Linked DNA regions of Saccharomyces cerevisiae S288C. The protein of the gene in region 2 interacts with the protein of the main gene of each other region in a pairwise test. Each region holds a gene or a part of one and is shown on either strand. Other genes may lie near its edges.

Evidence for each region. The genes of interacting proteins can lie anywhere in the genome.
Region 1: the proteins of DFP1 (region 2) and COS8 interact in a protein complementation assay, tested with the Saccharomyces cerevisiae proteins (one large-scale study listed by BioGRID).

Annotation. Positions count from the first base shown.
Region 1 is NC_001140.6:2,344-9,981, forward strand, and holds COS8 (Cos8p), read left to right. Parts: upstream 1-4,057; coding exon 4,058-5,203; downstream 5,204-7,638. Other genes in the region: YHL050C (uncharacterized protein), read right to left, coding at 328-968; YHL049C (uncharacterized protein), read right to left, coding at 1,383-2,198; YHL048C-A (uncharacterized protein), read right to left, coding at 3,320-3,454; ARN2 (siderophore transporter), read right to left, coding at 6,008-7,638.
Region 2 is NC_001133.9:176,198-183,265, reverse strand, and holds DFP1 (DUP240 family protein), read left to right. Parts: upstream 1-3,445; coding exon 3,446-3,985; downstream 3,986-7,068. Other genes in the region: seripauperin PAU7, read left to right, coding at 6,243-6,410.

The DNA of each region.
Region 1 (7,638 bases), on a different chromosome or scaffold from region 2:
TTAAGTCTATTATCAAGCATGATCACCATCATCAATTGCTTAATGTCAATTCCTTCAGTCACTAATTTTGTTCCGATGAGAACTCGCATGCTACCGTCAGTGACAAACTCCTTTGTGCGAGACACCTTTTCTGCAGCACCCAGCTTCCCGTGTATCCATACCACCCTAAAATACTTTCTCCAAGAGCAGGCCAATTCTTCCACTTCGTTGGTTGTGCTTGCAACTACAATGGCCTTCGACTCTGGTTCACTTTCAAAGAGGGCTAAAAGAAGCTTCAGTGCTTCTTCGGGCTGTGATTCCACTTTCTTCCGAATTTTATGAACATGCCCTAAAGGCACCTTGGATTTCTCCTTGATTAGATTAAACATCCGTGTTGGATAGCTGGATAGACCTCTGCTGAGATCTTCCGACCGTTTGAGCTCGTTGATGTCCATCGACTTCTTGGCCAGTCCCGTAAGCCCAATACGCTGCAACGCAGCATCAGCAACAGCCTCAGGGGCTGTGCCGCTCAAAAAGATTGCTTTCTCAAAAGCGTCAAAATCAAGGTTAGTTATGCCCCCAAATTGCGACTGCCGGTAGACCTCCGTTTCAAAGTTGTGCAACTCATCTACAATGAGGTAACCCAATTTTACGTTGTTGGTCCTAAAGGTGCACTCAACAATATTCTCCCACGCAGCTATCCTGTCTGTGAAATTAGTGCTAGCAAGATCATCGTAGATCCCCACGTATAAATCAGTAACGCCATCGCAACCTTCTTCAATAAAGTTTCTTACAGGGGCCACATTCAAGCAACCGCATCGGCCCAACCTGATCATGCAATTAGCAAGCAACACTGTGTACGGTACAAACAGAAACGACACATATTCCACGTCGCCCTTAGACGCCAGTGCTATCAAGGGGAGATGAAATAACTCCGTCTTACCATAGCCCGGTGGGGCCTGTACTGCCACAGAGGGTGTGTCTGCCATGTATATTTCATGACATAAGCGCAACTGATGCAAGTCCCTGAATTCAAAGGAGCTGCCAAAGAGTTTCTGGCCTGCGACGAGGATATCGTTTGTACTCTTGGGCTCTCGGGGCCTTTTTCGCGTTACTCTTGAAATTTTTTGATCATGATCTGAACTCGCCGCCTCACCTGCCACTACGTCTTCCGCATTCCGAGTACTAGAGAATGAACAATGGTAGTCGCTTTCAAGGCCTAACCATTGAATCCAGCGCTCGGAAGTGAGTCCGTCAAGCGTCTTTAGTCGAGGCTCCGATGAACCGTTCTTGTTGTATCGTCGACGTATACGTTGCGCTGTAGCTCTGGATAACGGTAAGCGTATCACCGTAAGCTCGTCAATTATTTTTGAGAGCCGCGGTCATTTTGTTAGTATCTCTTCTCAACTTGGGCAGCACACATGCAAAACATCACCCAATCGGTCCTTTTTGTTCATCATATCGTTACATATCTGTGAAAAGTACTTTATCTCAGTGGGTTTACGTGGGCATAGATCACGCTTCAGCCGCTCTGTGTCGACTTTCTTTTCGCCAGGTAAACTTGCTTGGTATGCAGAAAAAATCGATAGCTCATCTACGTGTAGTAACAAAAACATGTGGGGTGCCAAATTGTACCCATATTTCCTTATGGTGCTTTTCTGAAGACTCCTTACAATAGGTGCGCCAGAAACAAAGTCAGTGAAAGTACGCATCGTAGAGCTGTCGTTCGGCCTGGCACTCGCTATTTCGTGACAACGTTCCAGGACACGGAAACTCAACTCATTATAGTATCCTCTGTTGAGGTAAAAAAGAGAAAGGGTATCGTAATCCTTTCTATTGAATTTCAAAGTATGCACTTGAAACAACGTGTAGACCATCAAGTTGATTTTCTTGGGAATAAGATACTTTGAAGGGATTGGTCCGCCCTGGAAATCTGGTTCGTCTTCAACAAACGTCAGGAACTTTTGTACATTTTTCCCGACCATGACGGAAACGACAATTTTTTCAAAAGACCTTTTCCTATCCATTGCACCAGTTCTGAATTTTACCACTTTGATTAGGCCAGACTTTTCGTCTTCGTAGAATGACCGCACTTCCGTGGGGATCGATTCAAATAAAGTTATTGAGGGACAATGTACCAAGTCGTTTTTGTTATTTAGAGCCGACTCAAACTCGTCAAAGTTTGCTTTTTCAAACTTACGCCTATCGGAAACTTTCATTTTATTTTTGTAAGTTTCGAAATTAACAATAGTATGTTGATTGTTATGCTTTTTGACAAGAAATCCATCAATATAAACAAAAGATTGTCCAGTTTCCGTCTTATCATCATCTAAGAATGTAATAATTAAGCTACTCTATTGAGAAGAAGCAGAATCTGCGCTATGCAGGTGCAAATCTCCAGCAGCAGCAAAGAAAATTCAGTTAATAAGAAATCTCACTAAGATAAGCGACTGTCTGTCCCAACATAGAAAACAGAAGGATGTCTCATTCATCGCTTGATTTCCGGCCTGCAAAAATAAAGCAGTCGGTACGTGCTTTCGTTTTCAATTTCCATGGTGCACAGTATCTTAACCGTCTGCTTAGTCGAGGAGAACCAGGATTCTGTTCGTTGCTCAGCCGCTTCGTGGATAAATTTTATTACCCCGCTGAGGTAGAGGAGCCCTTTTTGGCGTACCAAGTCACTTCCTAATGCTCCATGTCCCACCCACCATGTTGAAACGTTGACAAATGATCGTAAATAATACACACGTACTTACCCACACACACCACATGCCACACTCACTTGCACTTGTATACTGGTACGGCATACGCACACGGATGCTACAGTATATACCACTCTCAACTTACCCTACTTTCACATTCTACTCCACTCCATGACCCATCTCTCACTAAATCAGTACTAAATGCACCCACATCATTATGCACGGCACTTGCCTCAGCGGTCTATACCCTGTGCCATTTACCCATAACGCCCACGATTATCCACATTTTAATATCTATATCTCATTCGGCGGCCCCAAATATTGTATAACTGCTCTTAATACATACGTTATACCTCTTTTTCACCGTATACTAACCACTCAATTTATATACACTTATGCCAATATTACAAAAAAATCACCACTAAAATCACCTAAACATAAAAATATTCTATCCTTCAACCATAGTACATAAACACACTCAATTGCGTATCAATACCACCATGACGTCATTAACTTAAATGTTCCTTAATACCGTCATACCACTATGCTCTATTCCATATATTGTAATATAACTGTACTCTATAGTCATACAGACGCTTTTACTTCACCCTATCTTCTCATACTATTGTCATAGAATCTCACACTGACGCATGATTAAAACGAATAATTTTTACTATAAGGCCTCCCATCCGTGCTCTACCCTTTTGTTTGCAATATTTATACAGAATCTCAAAGCAAGCGGGAGAAGTGGTGATTACCCAGATGTCATGCATGATCTGAGCACCACCGTACCTCTAGGTTTTGCCTTGATCAATTTTACAGTGACACCAAGCATAAGGATAAAAAATGGTATTGAAAGGTTGTCCACATTTGTAAGTAACTTGGTTCTATGAATCTTCATGTCAGATACGTAGGACGGACTCTTTCCTGTGTAAATATTTGTGACAGCTACGTCTATTTTCTACTAGATGTTTACACAGTTTTGTCACAGGAAATCTACGCTTAAAATATGTATTTCATTCAAGCGGTAACCGCTGTACGAGCAGTGACATTGCTGGTCGCACCTTAAATGTAAACCAAAGTTACGGCACACCGTGATGCACCCGCATTAAAGTTTTGTAAATTCGTTATTACGATTATCGAGTTGGCTAGATAGAAAACCGGAAATGAAATGGATGCCCTTTTCGAATAGCTGAGTTTCTTTGCCTAAAATAGCCCAATATTGTTTCCCTTTTTCTATCACGAGGTTACTGAGCCATTGCATGAACGCGCGCGCCTCGGCGGCTTTTTTTTTCTGCTGTGCTGTATAAAAGCGAAAAGTCAGAAGTTACTATTTCGAATAAAAAACCCCTCGAACTGCCATCTCACTACCGAAAATGAAAGAGAATGAAGTCAAAGATGAGAAAAGCGTAGATGTGTTATCCTTCAAACAGCTCGAATTCCAAAAGACCGTTCTACCTCAAGATGTTTTCCGAAACGAATTGACCTGGTTTTGTTATGAAATTTACAAGTCTTTAGCGTTTCGCATCTGGATGCTGTTATGGCTACCACTTAGCGTCTGGTGGAAACTTTCCAGCAATTGGATTCACCCACTTATAGTTTCACTTCTTGTCCTGTTCCTGGGACCATTTTTTGTCCTTGTTATTTGTGGACTTTCTCGTAAGCGTTCCTTATCGAAACAACTCATTCAGTTTTGCAAAGAGATTACTGAAGACACACCAAGTTCGGATCCTCATGATTGGGAAGTCGTTGCAGCAAATCTAAATTCGTACTTCTATGAAAATAAGACTTGGAATACCAAGTACTTTTTTTTCAATGCCATGAGCTGCCAAAAAGCGTTTAAAACAACCCTTCTCGAACCCTTCTCTTTAAAAAAAGACGAATCTGCAAAGGTTAAGTCATTTAAGGATTCCGTTCCTTATATCGAAGAGGCCTTGCAAGTGTATGCTGCAGGATTTGACAAAGAGTGGAAGCTGTTTAATACTGAGAAGGAAGAGAGTCCTTTCGACCTGGAAGACATTCAGCTCCCCAAAGAAGCTTACCGATTTAAGCTTACCTGGATTCTTAAAAGGATTTTCAACCTGCGGTGTTTACCACTCTTCCTTTATTATTTTTTAATTGTCTACACGTCTGGAAATGCTGACCTTATATCACGTTTCTTGTTTCCGGTAGTAATGTTTTTTATCATGACGAGAGATTTCCAAAATATGAGGATGATTGTTTTATCCGTGAAAATGGAACACAAGATGCAGTTCTTGTCAACTATTATAAATGAGCAAGAAAGTGGTGCGAATGGATGGGACGAAATTGCAAAGAAAATGAATAGGTATTTGTTTGAGAAAAAAGTCTGGAATAATGAAGAGTTTTTCTACGATGGACTTGACTGCGAATGGTTTTTTAGGCGCTTTTTCTATCGTCTCTTATCTTTAAAAAAACCTATGTGGTTTGCTTCGTTGAACGTTGAGCTATGGCCATACATTAAAGAAGCGCAATCGGCCCGCAATGAGAAGCCCCTAAAGTAGGAACAAATGTTCCTTTTCCAAAATATACTATGTGTAGTTGATCGAATATCAGTAAGTCAAAACGTATTTTACTTGTTTATTATTATTAATACTCCTTTTCGCATATGTTTTATCACTTTACACCATACAATAACCACTAAATTCAAAAACACTTATTTTCAATATTTGTTATAGAAAAATAACCACTAAAATCACCTAAATATAAAAATATTCTACCCTTTAGCAATAAGACTGAAACACTTTACTTGGGGTAAGAATACTGCCATGGTGTCATTAACATGAAAGTTCAATAATGTTTTCATACTAATCAATATGTACACAGGCTTCACATTAGAACATCATATATTAAAGCGGTAACTTAAAATCCAGATAATACATTTTTGGTCATATAAGTGCTTTTTTTTTGTAGGATATAATCGCAAATGATATCACTACACTATGACATATTGTTGACGTAGTAAATTACGATTTAGCTTATATGTCATAATGTAGTAAGTTTATATATGTTATGTAAATGTAAGAATTACATAGGTACTGTTTTTGTACACAGAAGCTATAATTTCTCAAGTACTACCGGATTAGAGGTTTGCTACAATACGTTTTCCACTATATGTTTTCTATGTGTGAAACATTACTGAAACATTACTCATATTACGCTTTTGTGTTATCACATTAAACATATACATGGTAACAAATATTACTATCACTTATCTTGCTTCATCTTATGTACCATACAAAAATTACTGCGCATATCAGAGATCATTTTTTCGAACACATATCCTGTTGGGGTTTTGTAAATCTTTCTTATGACCTGCCTAAGGCCTTTGCAAAACGTTTCGCGATCCAGTCATTGATAGGATCATCTTCCTTGGTTTGGACATATTCTCTGTCAGGTAACTTTTGGGCAAAATCTTCAGTCAACCGAGGATCTCTTACGCAGAATGTTAGAAGGAACATAGGCGCTGAAAATACAAGCGCAACAATAACTTCGTATTTTTGAACGTGTCTGTAAGCTTCAACCATCGCAGACCTAACTGGAGTACCCCAGGGATTGGAAAGAATAAAAGTTAGTGGTGAGCCATATGCTGCTGTAGCCAGGTCAGCGTCTCCCATGTAGTGCAATAATTTAGGGTACAATGACTGCGTCCATATGGCACCGGAAATGGCAGCTGCAACTGCTCCACCTATTCTGAAAACTGTATAGTTTAATGCTGTGACAGTAGCCATATTCTCATGGGATGTTACCGACTGAATAGAAACAATTGTAGGATAATCGAATAAACAACTACTGAGACCCCAAATAACCATACCAGCAATTATACCTCCATCGGCGTCTTGACCTGACCTGTAGCGGTAAAATAGTCCCATAGTAATGAAATAAAGTGAGCCACCAAAAATAATATACGACTTCAATCTAGATGATCTCGTAACGATGAGCCCCAGAAATGGAGCAACAACAGCAGTCACAAAAGAGTATAAGTTTATTATTCTTGTAGCTGAGGAAGCGCTCTCATCTACCGCAACTACTAGAATGGTGTAGAGATACCCAGCAGCCATTTGATATACAAAGCAGATAAAAAACATAATTCCCAATGGGGCCCACACGCCACGATCTTTTAGCAGCTTGAATGGAGCGAAAGGAACCAAAGCAAGTCGACTTTCCCAATATATGAAGCCTGGAACCAGGACAAAGCCAAGCACAAAGGGCCCGATAATCTTTGAATTTCTCCAATTTGTAGAGACGCCACCAGCAAGAGTGAGTGGTACAAGAATACAACCAACACCAGCAGTAAACAACAACACACCGACAACATCTAGCTTCCAGAACAACTGTACCAGCATTTGTACTAATCCGTGCGTTTGATAGTACGATTTTTCATCCTGTAATTCTTTCCATTCCACGTCATTTCTTACTTTCCATCTCATATGGAGCATACACAAAATCAATGGGATACAGCATAGAGGGAAAATGAACGCCCACATAGCAATATTCCACGACCAGTTCTCTAACGGGTTTGCTGCCTCCACTACACTACCTGAGACCCACGTAGTGATAATCGAGGGCCATGAAGGTATCAATGTGTAAAATAGCCTCCATTTTAATGAAGAATTATCAGACAACATCAAAACAACCTGTAGCATAACACCGACAAGTCCCACATAATAAAAGACAGCTCCAGCAGCATACCTCTGGACATCATATGCTTGAGATTGAATTATTGTACCCACAATGTAAAGTACAATGGATACAAGAAACAACGTTAGCCTTCCAAAGATATCTGATAACCCTCCAAAGATCACCTGTGAAACAGCAGATATCATTAGAACTATGACGCTTACTGTAGAAATGAGAGAATGTGCGGAGTACGAGTTCATTGCGTAGGTCATATATGTACCCCTTATGCTGCTATCTAATCCATAAGCGAAAGTGCAAA
Region 2 (7,068 bases):
TCAGCTTCCTCTAACTTCGATGACAGCTTTTCATACCTTATGCCATCATCTCTACACCGTATATGATAATATATTGATAATATAACTATTAGTTGATAGACGATAGTGGATTTTTATTCCAACAGAATTGCATTCCAACACATTGCCCCTAGCAATAATAGAAGTCCTACAATTATCAGATTTTTTAGCCAATTCTCAGCAACAAATCTAAATAGCAATTGCTCTTTTTAATTAATGGTTTACAGTTGTGATGCAACGCAATCCTTTTTCTTATAATTGGTTTACATATTTTATCACTGAAAATAATGTTGTATTACGGGCTCGAGTAATACCGGAGTGTCTTGACAATCCTAATATAAACAGTCTTAGGGAAGTAACCAGTTGTCAAAACAGTTTATCAGATTAATTCACGGAATGTTACTTATCTTATATATTATATAAAATATGAATCATACTAAGTGGTGGAAGCGCGGAATCTCGGATCTAAACTAATTGTTCAGGCATTTATACTTTGGGTAGTTCAGCTAGGGAAGGTCGGGTTTTGTCTCATGTTGTTCGTTTTGTTATAAGGTTGTTTCATATGTGTTTTATGAACGTTCAGGGTGACGTATTGTCATACTGACATATCTCATTTTGAGATACAACAAATAACATACAATTTTGGCAACTTGGCCGAGTGGTTAAGGCGAAAGATTAGAAATCTTTTGGGCTTTGCCCGCGCAGGTTCGAGTCCTGCAGTTGTCGTTATTTTTTTTTACTGATGATATTTCACCTCTTCAAAGCATACTCATCTTCAACTCGGATTCAACACGAGAAAGAATTATTTAAATCGGTACAAAGCAATACACTATTCAAAATCCTATCGTTTCCCAATTGTGTTGTGCGCGCGTTATTCTGCGATTCCGTGTAAGTGCATAGAGTAGGTTGTTGCAATAAAAAATGTCTCTAAATAGCAGGCCGACAGACATAACCAAATGATTTCCGTGAACAACCTCAAATTTTCAGGCTTTGAACGTGATTTTCCCAAACCCTGTAACTTGATGTGTAAATTTAAAATGGAATTGGCATGCCAGCTATCATCCCTTAGTGCTTTCAGTCCGAGAGTCTCCATATGTCTGACTTCACGACCTAATTGAACCGGCGCCCATTTCTGGGACATCAGCACTTGCGGTGCTGTTCCAAATAATATCTAAGGTAAGTTTAATGGCCCAGCCCGATCGTGAACGTTAAAGAAAGCATACGTCAAAATATTGGTACCTTATAAGAGTAAAAAAATGCTGTTTCATCTCGTTTGGTAGAGTATATATAAAAAGAGCGGTTTCTGAATTGTTGAAATTTGAACTGTTCAAGATTTACTTAGTAGTATGAACCTGCAGGGATCATCCAGAAACAAAATGCTGTAGCTTCTTCTCTGAATTGTATTTCTTTACAAAGAGCTTTGCTATTTTGCCTTGAAACAGCATATCTCATGGCGAGCGCTTCCATAGCGCTTGAAGCAGACCAAAGCAACATGCTGGAAGACCAGATTCCTAGACTATTCATGTACATCTCTACATAGTATGATCGACTTCGGGATTTTTTATTCCTTACTACGTGGTTTTTACGATGGCATGATCAAATTCTGTGAAGCTGTTTTGTCTGTCAGTGGGATCGTGCATTGTACTCAGTTAGAAGTGCGTTTGGAGCTTTGTAACATGGCACAAGTGAAGTGAAAGACGCCCTTTATAGAAAGGAGAGTTAGCTAATGTAGAAGTACAGCTGGTGATAAGAAAACGCTGATGCAGAATCAGGAAAGTGTTCTCGTTGTATTTTCCAAGTCTACTTGATTTTACAGTTAACGTAATATTCTTTATTATGTAGTGGTAAGAAATACTCAAACCGTAGGAAGCGGACTTGAGTTTGTTTTTATCTTCAGAGTATATGCATCCACGAAACACACCCTCATTGGTATAATGTTGGTACTTTCATTCCTACGTAGATTATGAAGTATAGGAGGAAAAAGAAAAAATAATGGTTGCTAAGAGATTCGAACTCTTGCATCTTACGATACCTGAGTATTCCCACAGTTCACTGCGGTCAAGATATTTCTTGAATCAGGCGCCTTAGACCGCTCGGCCAAACAACCACTTATTTGTGATATTTGGGTCACAATGTTTTAACTATTTGGACACTGACTTGTTATTAGCTGATCGCTAATTCAAACACATGGTTATATAAAGCATTCTTTCTGAAGAGACACCCAAAAAATAAGTACAGCATGGAAGTAATTATCATGCGTGTACGTGTTCTACTACATATTTTGCTATTCGGCATTGTAATGGGAAGTGATTCATAGGTGGCTGCCCCATTTTCAACGAGGGTAAAGTTTATAACTTTTTGTCTGGTCGTCCTCTTAGCTATACAACATCGTTATTGTTTAGGTATTATCCAACAATTAGGACACAGGCGTGAATAGTTTTATTAACAAATATAAAGTTAGCAATCGGCCAGTAAAAGTTTTAACGCAGGGACATCTCAGTAAATAAGTCATGCCTATGGTCCTCATCTAAATTTCGAAAAGAGACTGTGTTACGTATTATTCGCGAAGAACAATGATGATATATATCTGGCGATTTTACGGCCATTATCAGCGGTAAAACACCCAAGGTGTTGACTAAGTGATGGAGTCTGCGGTGGACAAGTGTTACTTTTGCTATACTACTAATCCAGCATTCCGTGATCATAGTTTAAATGCGCTGGCGTATTGGGAGCTCTTTGATACAACGAGAAGTCAGACATCAGCTCGCCGAAGCGTCCTAACAGTAACTAACTAACAATAAGCCTTAATGTAGTCCTCTTCCATATTCAATCTACTCTATATTCCGCTGGAGACCTGCTCACTCAATAGATCAGAAACACTCTTATATCCAAAAATACACAGGTACGAAAAATCTCGATCGAGAAATTCAAGGAAATAGAATAATCCTACACACATAACATTAAAAAAAAAATCCCTACGACAGAACTTCCCAGTCTGCTTTTGATTTACTTTTAATAAATACAGATGTTTTTTCAGTACCTTTCATGTTCCCATCCTTGTTACGATATATACTTTCATCTGGGGGCGCTAAAGAAAGCGAAAAGCTATGTACGTACAGTTGAAAAAAAGGAAAATACCAATTGAGGTTTGAAATGTTCGACACATTCAAGTCTATTTTTCCTAAGCTATCAGGATAAGGTTTACTTGACTTGTAAGCAAAAGCAAGTTAAATCGTTTGTTAAACATGCAATCTTATTTAAAAAAAACACTCATGTCACGGACGATCCTAAAGCAATCCCATTGAGGGAAGGATCTCCTGACAACCCTGAAAGTCCTTTAATCTCAGCTGATATCGTCCTTCCAGAGGATGAGTTTGCATCATACCAGAGTTATTTGCTTTACGAAATTGTACGCGCCAAGTATATAATGATCAATTTCCTCCTTTTTGTCTTGACGATTTTGGCGACTTTAACAAACATTTGGTTTTCTGGTGTTCTCTCCCCTGCCATGGTGATCCGGATATGTTTAGGTGGCTCTATGGTAGTCCTTCAGATATGGTCATTCAGTAGACCAATAAGTAATGAAACATTCCGTACAAAACTTCTACTAGAGGTAATAACTCATAGACCATCGATAGCTGGGAAAGAATGGAAAACCATAACGTATAACATGAATCAATATTTGTTCAAGGCTGGCTTATGGAAAACACCATACCACTTTTTTTGTGAACACCAGTGCTATGAATTTTTCAAGGATCTCATAAAGGGAAAATATCCTGATGTACAGTGGGATACAGCGAATACACAGCCGTTCATCAGTGTTCCAGAAAATCAGGCTGCAACTCAAAATTCTGATGTTGAACCAACCGTAAAGTGGTGCCTCTTTAAAGCAGCCGAAATTCAAGCCCATGCTGTGCGGGAATATTGGCAAAGTCAATATCCAGATGTGGGCATACCTGCAATATGAGTAGAGTTTACGTATCTAATATATTGGTATAAAAAGAACGCATCTTTTTTTTTTTGGGCTGTTCTGGGCTCCAGGAAGTCATAAATTGTGGGTACGCTTTAGATGTGTTTGCAATATTTGCAACTGCTCTCCCAAAAAAAATTAGCATTGCAAGATATTGAATAACTGGGTCGTCCCGAAGCAACAGTGGGGAAATAGTTTACGAGTTTTGTTCAAGTTAAAAGCATTTTTTGTTGTGAAGAGAATAAACTTGATTTCGAAGGAGATCAAATTCGAAATAATCTGCGAATTTATTATGATCGACTAGGCAACGAAGACGCAGTTTTCTATTAAATCTGTGCGTTTGAGTAACTTAACTGACTATAATATCGCAATCTTAACATCATTAAACAATGTAAAAGAGGTCATACGCTATAAGAAGTTGATTTGATCCCCCGTGGATTTTGAAAAATGTCAAGATCAGCATATTGACCCATGTTTTTCCGCTCAATCCAGTCTATCAATCATTTTTCAACAAGGATAACCATAACATTCACCCACCATGCTTTGGTTCATAAGATATACGGGGAGATCAGCAACTCTTCAACTTATTGAACATGTTGAGAGCAGGATTAAATAATCAATGTCCTGTGATTGCAACATCTATCATGCCTGACGTTTCTCGAACGATACAATCTACAATTTAATGAGCCATTTTAGCATATTAACGAGGGCTGCATGAGGATCGAATGGACAAAAGTGTTTTCAGGCATGGGAGAATGGGATGCTTATAGAGGAGTTTAACCATGAAATTAAATGATTCTCCAGCAAGAAAAAAAAAACTCCTGACTCAGTTCATGTGGCGGGAAATTTCTCTCATTGTCTCCCCCTGCAGCGCTACTAATCTTAAAGGTAGTGGTGGCTTCGACATTATATCGTTGGTTCAGGTTGTCCGATCACTAATGATCTGTTACTTTATTGCTATGTTATGTGTCAAAAGGTGATATCCCCATTTTTACTGATCGCAGTAATATTTTAACCTGCCATGGTTAAATTGTTTATTGTCATTGAGTTGAGCACTTTTTCATTGCACTGTAGTTGTTGCGTATTTCAGACTTACTCTTATAGTGACGCTAACAGGAGGTCTGGCTCTTAATACAAGGACGTCGTAATATTCTGTTCACCGGACTCGAAAGCAAGAAGGAAAAAAGCACATTGTAGCCTTTTCAAAAACCTATCTTTTGGTACTAATTTATGGCGGCCCATACAGAGAGCTACCCTAAGAAATAGTTCGCATTCGTATATGAACTTCGGCTTTGAATATTGCGGATTCGTGCACAATACAAGACTTCTGTCGTTCCATGTCATCTATTGCGCGATTATTTTTTCACCAATTCCTTTCATTTCTAGTGGTTTCAAGGCGCAAGATTAATCTTAGATTTTACCTCCATCAAAAGCTCGGTAATTGGCACGTCATTTTACTATATGGCCTCAACAACATCGCTATACAGATTTGGGCGCCCTACTTAGCGAGACTTCCTACATTTGGAAATTACCCTAAAGGCATATTCTCTTCATGTAATAGCTCGCACAATGTAACCCGATTCAATTGATGCCCCAGTCGTCATTTATGTACAAGCATATCTACGCTGGCTCTGAGACTTGTGTTGTCCAAACAAGAACCCCCATCATATCTAGCGTGAGTATCAAATGGTTGGCAATAGTTTGTGTGGTCTGATTATTTACGTACAGCTCCCCTTTTTGTGTGCATATTCCTGCAGATGCGACTCTAAGAGCTCACACTTAATTTTTCATTGTTTCTAATTTGGGAAAAGTCCGATTTCCCTCCTACTAACCGTTTAGTGCCAAGGGTGAGATGGCCCTTGAACGAGGGCCCAAAATAAATTTGGCTTTGGTTCTATTTCTTGGCCAAAACTGCAGCTGCAGCCCTATAGGCACTTTTCCTGTAGAGAACATTCTTGTGCTATGGAACATATGAAAGGATGGGGCATAAAAAAACGGCTTCCTATACGAAGTATAGCATCGTTCAAGAACAACCCGTCCCCATAGTAATAATGACTTAGTCGCTAAGTGGAATGTGGAAGGCATGAGTGTGAGATGGGCGACCAGTAAGAGCCCATGTGTGCAGATGTAGTTGTTCAAAGTTTCATATAAATACAGCGGCTTGATCAGCTTTGTTTGAGACATTTCTCTGTTCTTTTCCTTCCAGTTAAGCCTATATCATCACTAAGCAATAACCCAAAAAACAACAAATACAATGGTCAAATTAACTTCAATCGCTGCCGGTGTCGCCGCCATTGCTGCTGGTGCCTCCGCCGCAGCAACCACTACATTATCTCAATCTGACGAAAGAGTTAATTTGGTTGAATTAGGTGTTTATGTTTCCGATATCAGAGCTCATTTGGCTGAATACTACTCTTTCTAAGCTGCTCACCCAACTGAAACTTATCCAGTTGAAATTGCAGAAGCTGTTTTCAACTACGGTGATTTCACCACCATGTTGACTGGTATTCCCGCCGACCAAGTTACCAGAGTTATCACTGGTGTTCCATGGTACTCCAGCAGATTAAAGCCAGCTATCTCTAGTGCTCTATCCGTAGACGGTATCTACACTATCGCAAACTAGAGTCCCTGCTTTACGAATGAAACCTGTACAGGTATGAGAGGTTACGAAAAAAAATGATAAATGAAAAAAAAAAAGCTTAATAATATGAAATTAATAGTATGAATAGTTAGGCGCATGTATATAAATATAAATTTTTGTATATATGTATTATTAATATTATAAATTTCTTATTATTAAACCATCCTTTACGGAAATAACGGCCTATTCCCTTAGTATTTTGTTGTAGCTCGTGGAGTTATCCATTTTAAATGGATCTTGGGATAATTTTTACTGCTTCCCTCGTACTGGGAGCTTAATACACGTTCGTCTTGTTATCATCATAAATATGTGTTTATTATTCTCGCCTGGAAGGAAATCTTCAGTATAAATTCGTGAGGAATTTAGAATATAAATAATTCAATCATAAGAAAACATAAAAAGATCAAGTAAATAATAGAGGCATACAAGCATAACCAAA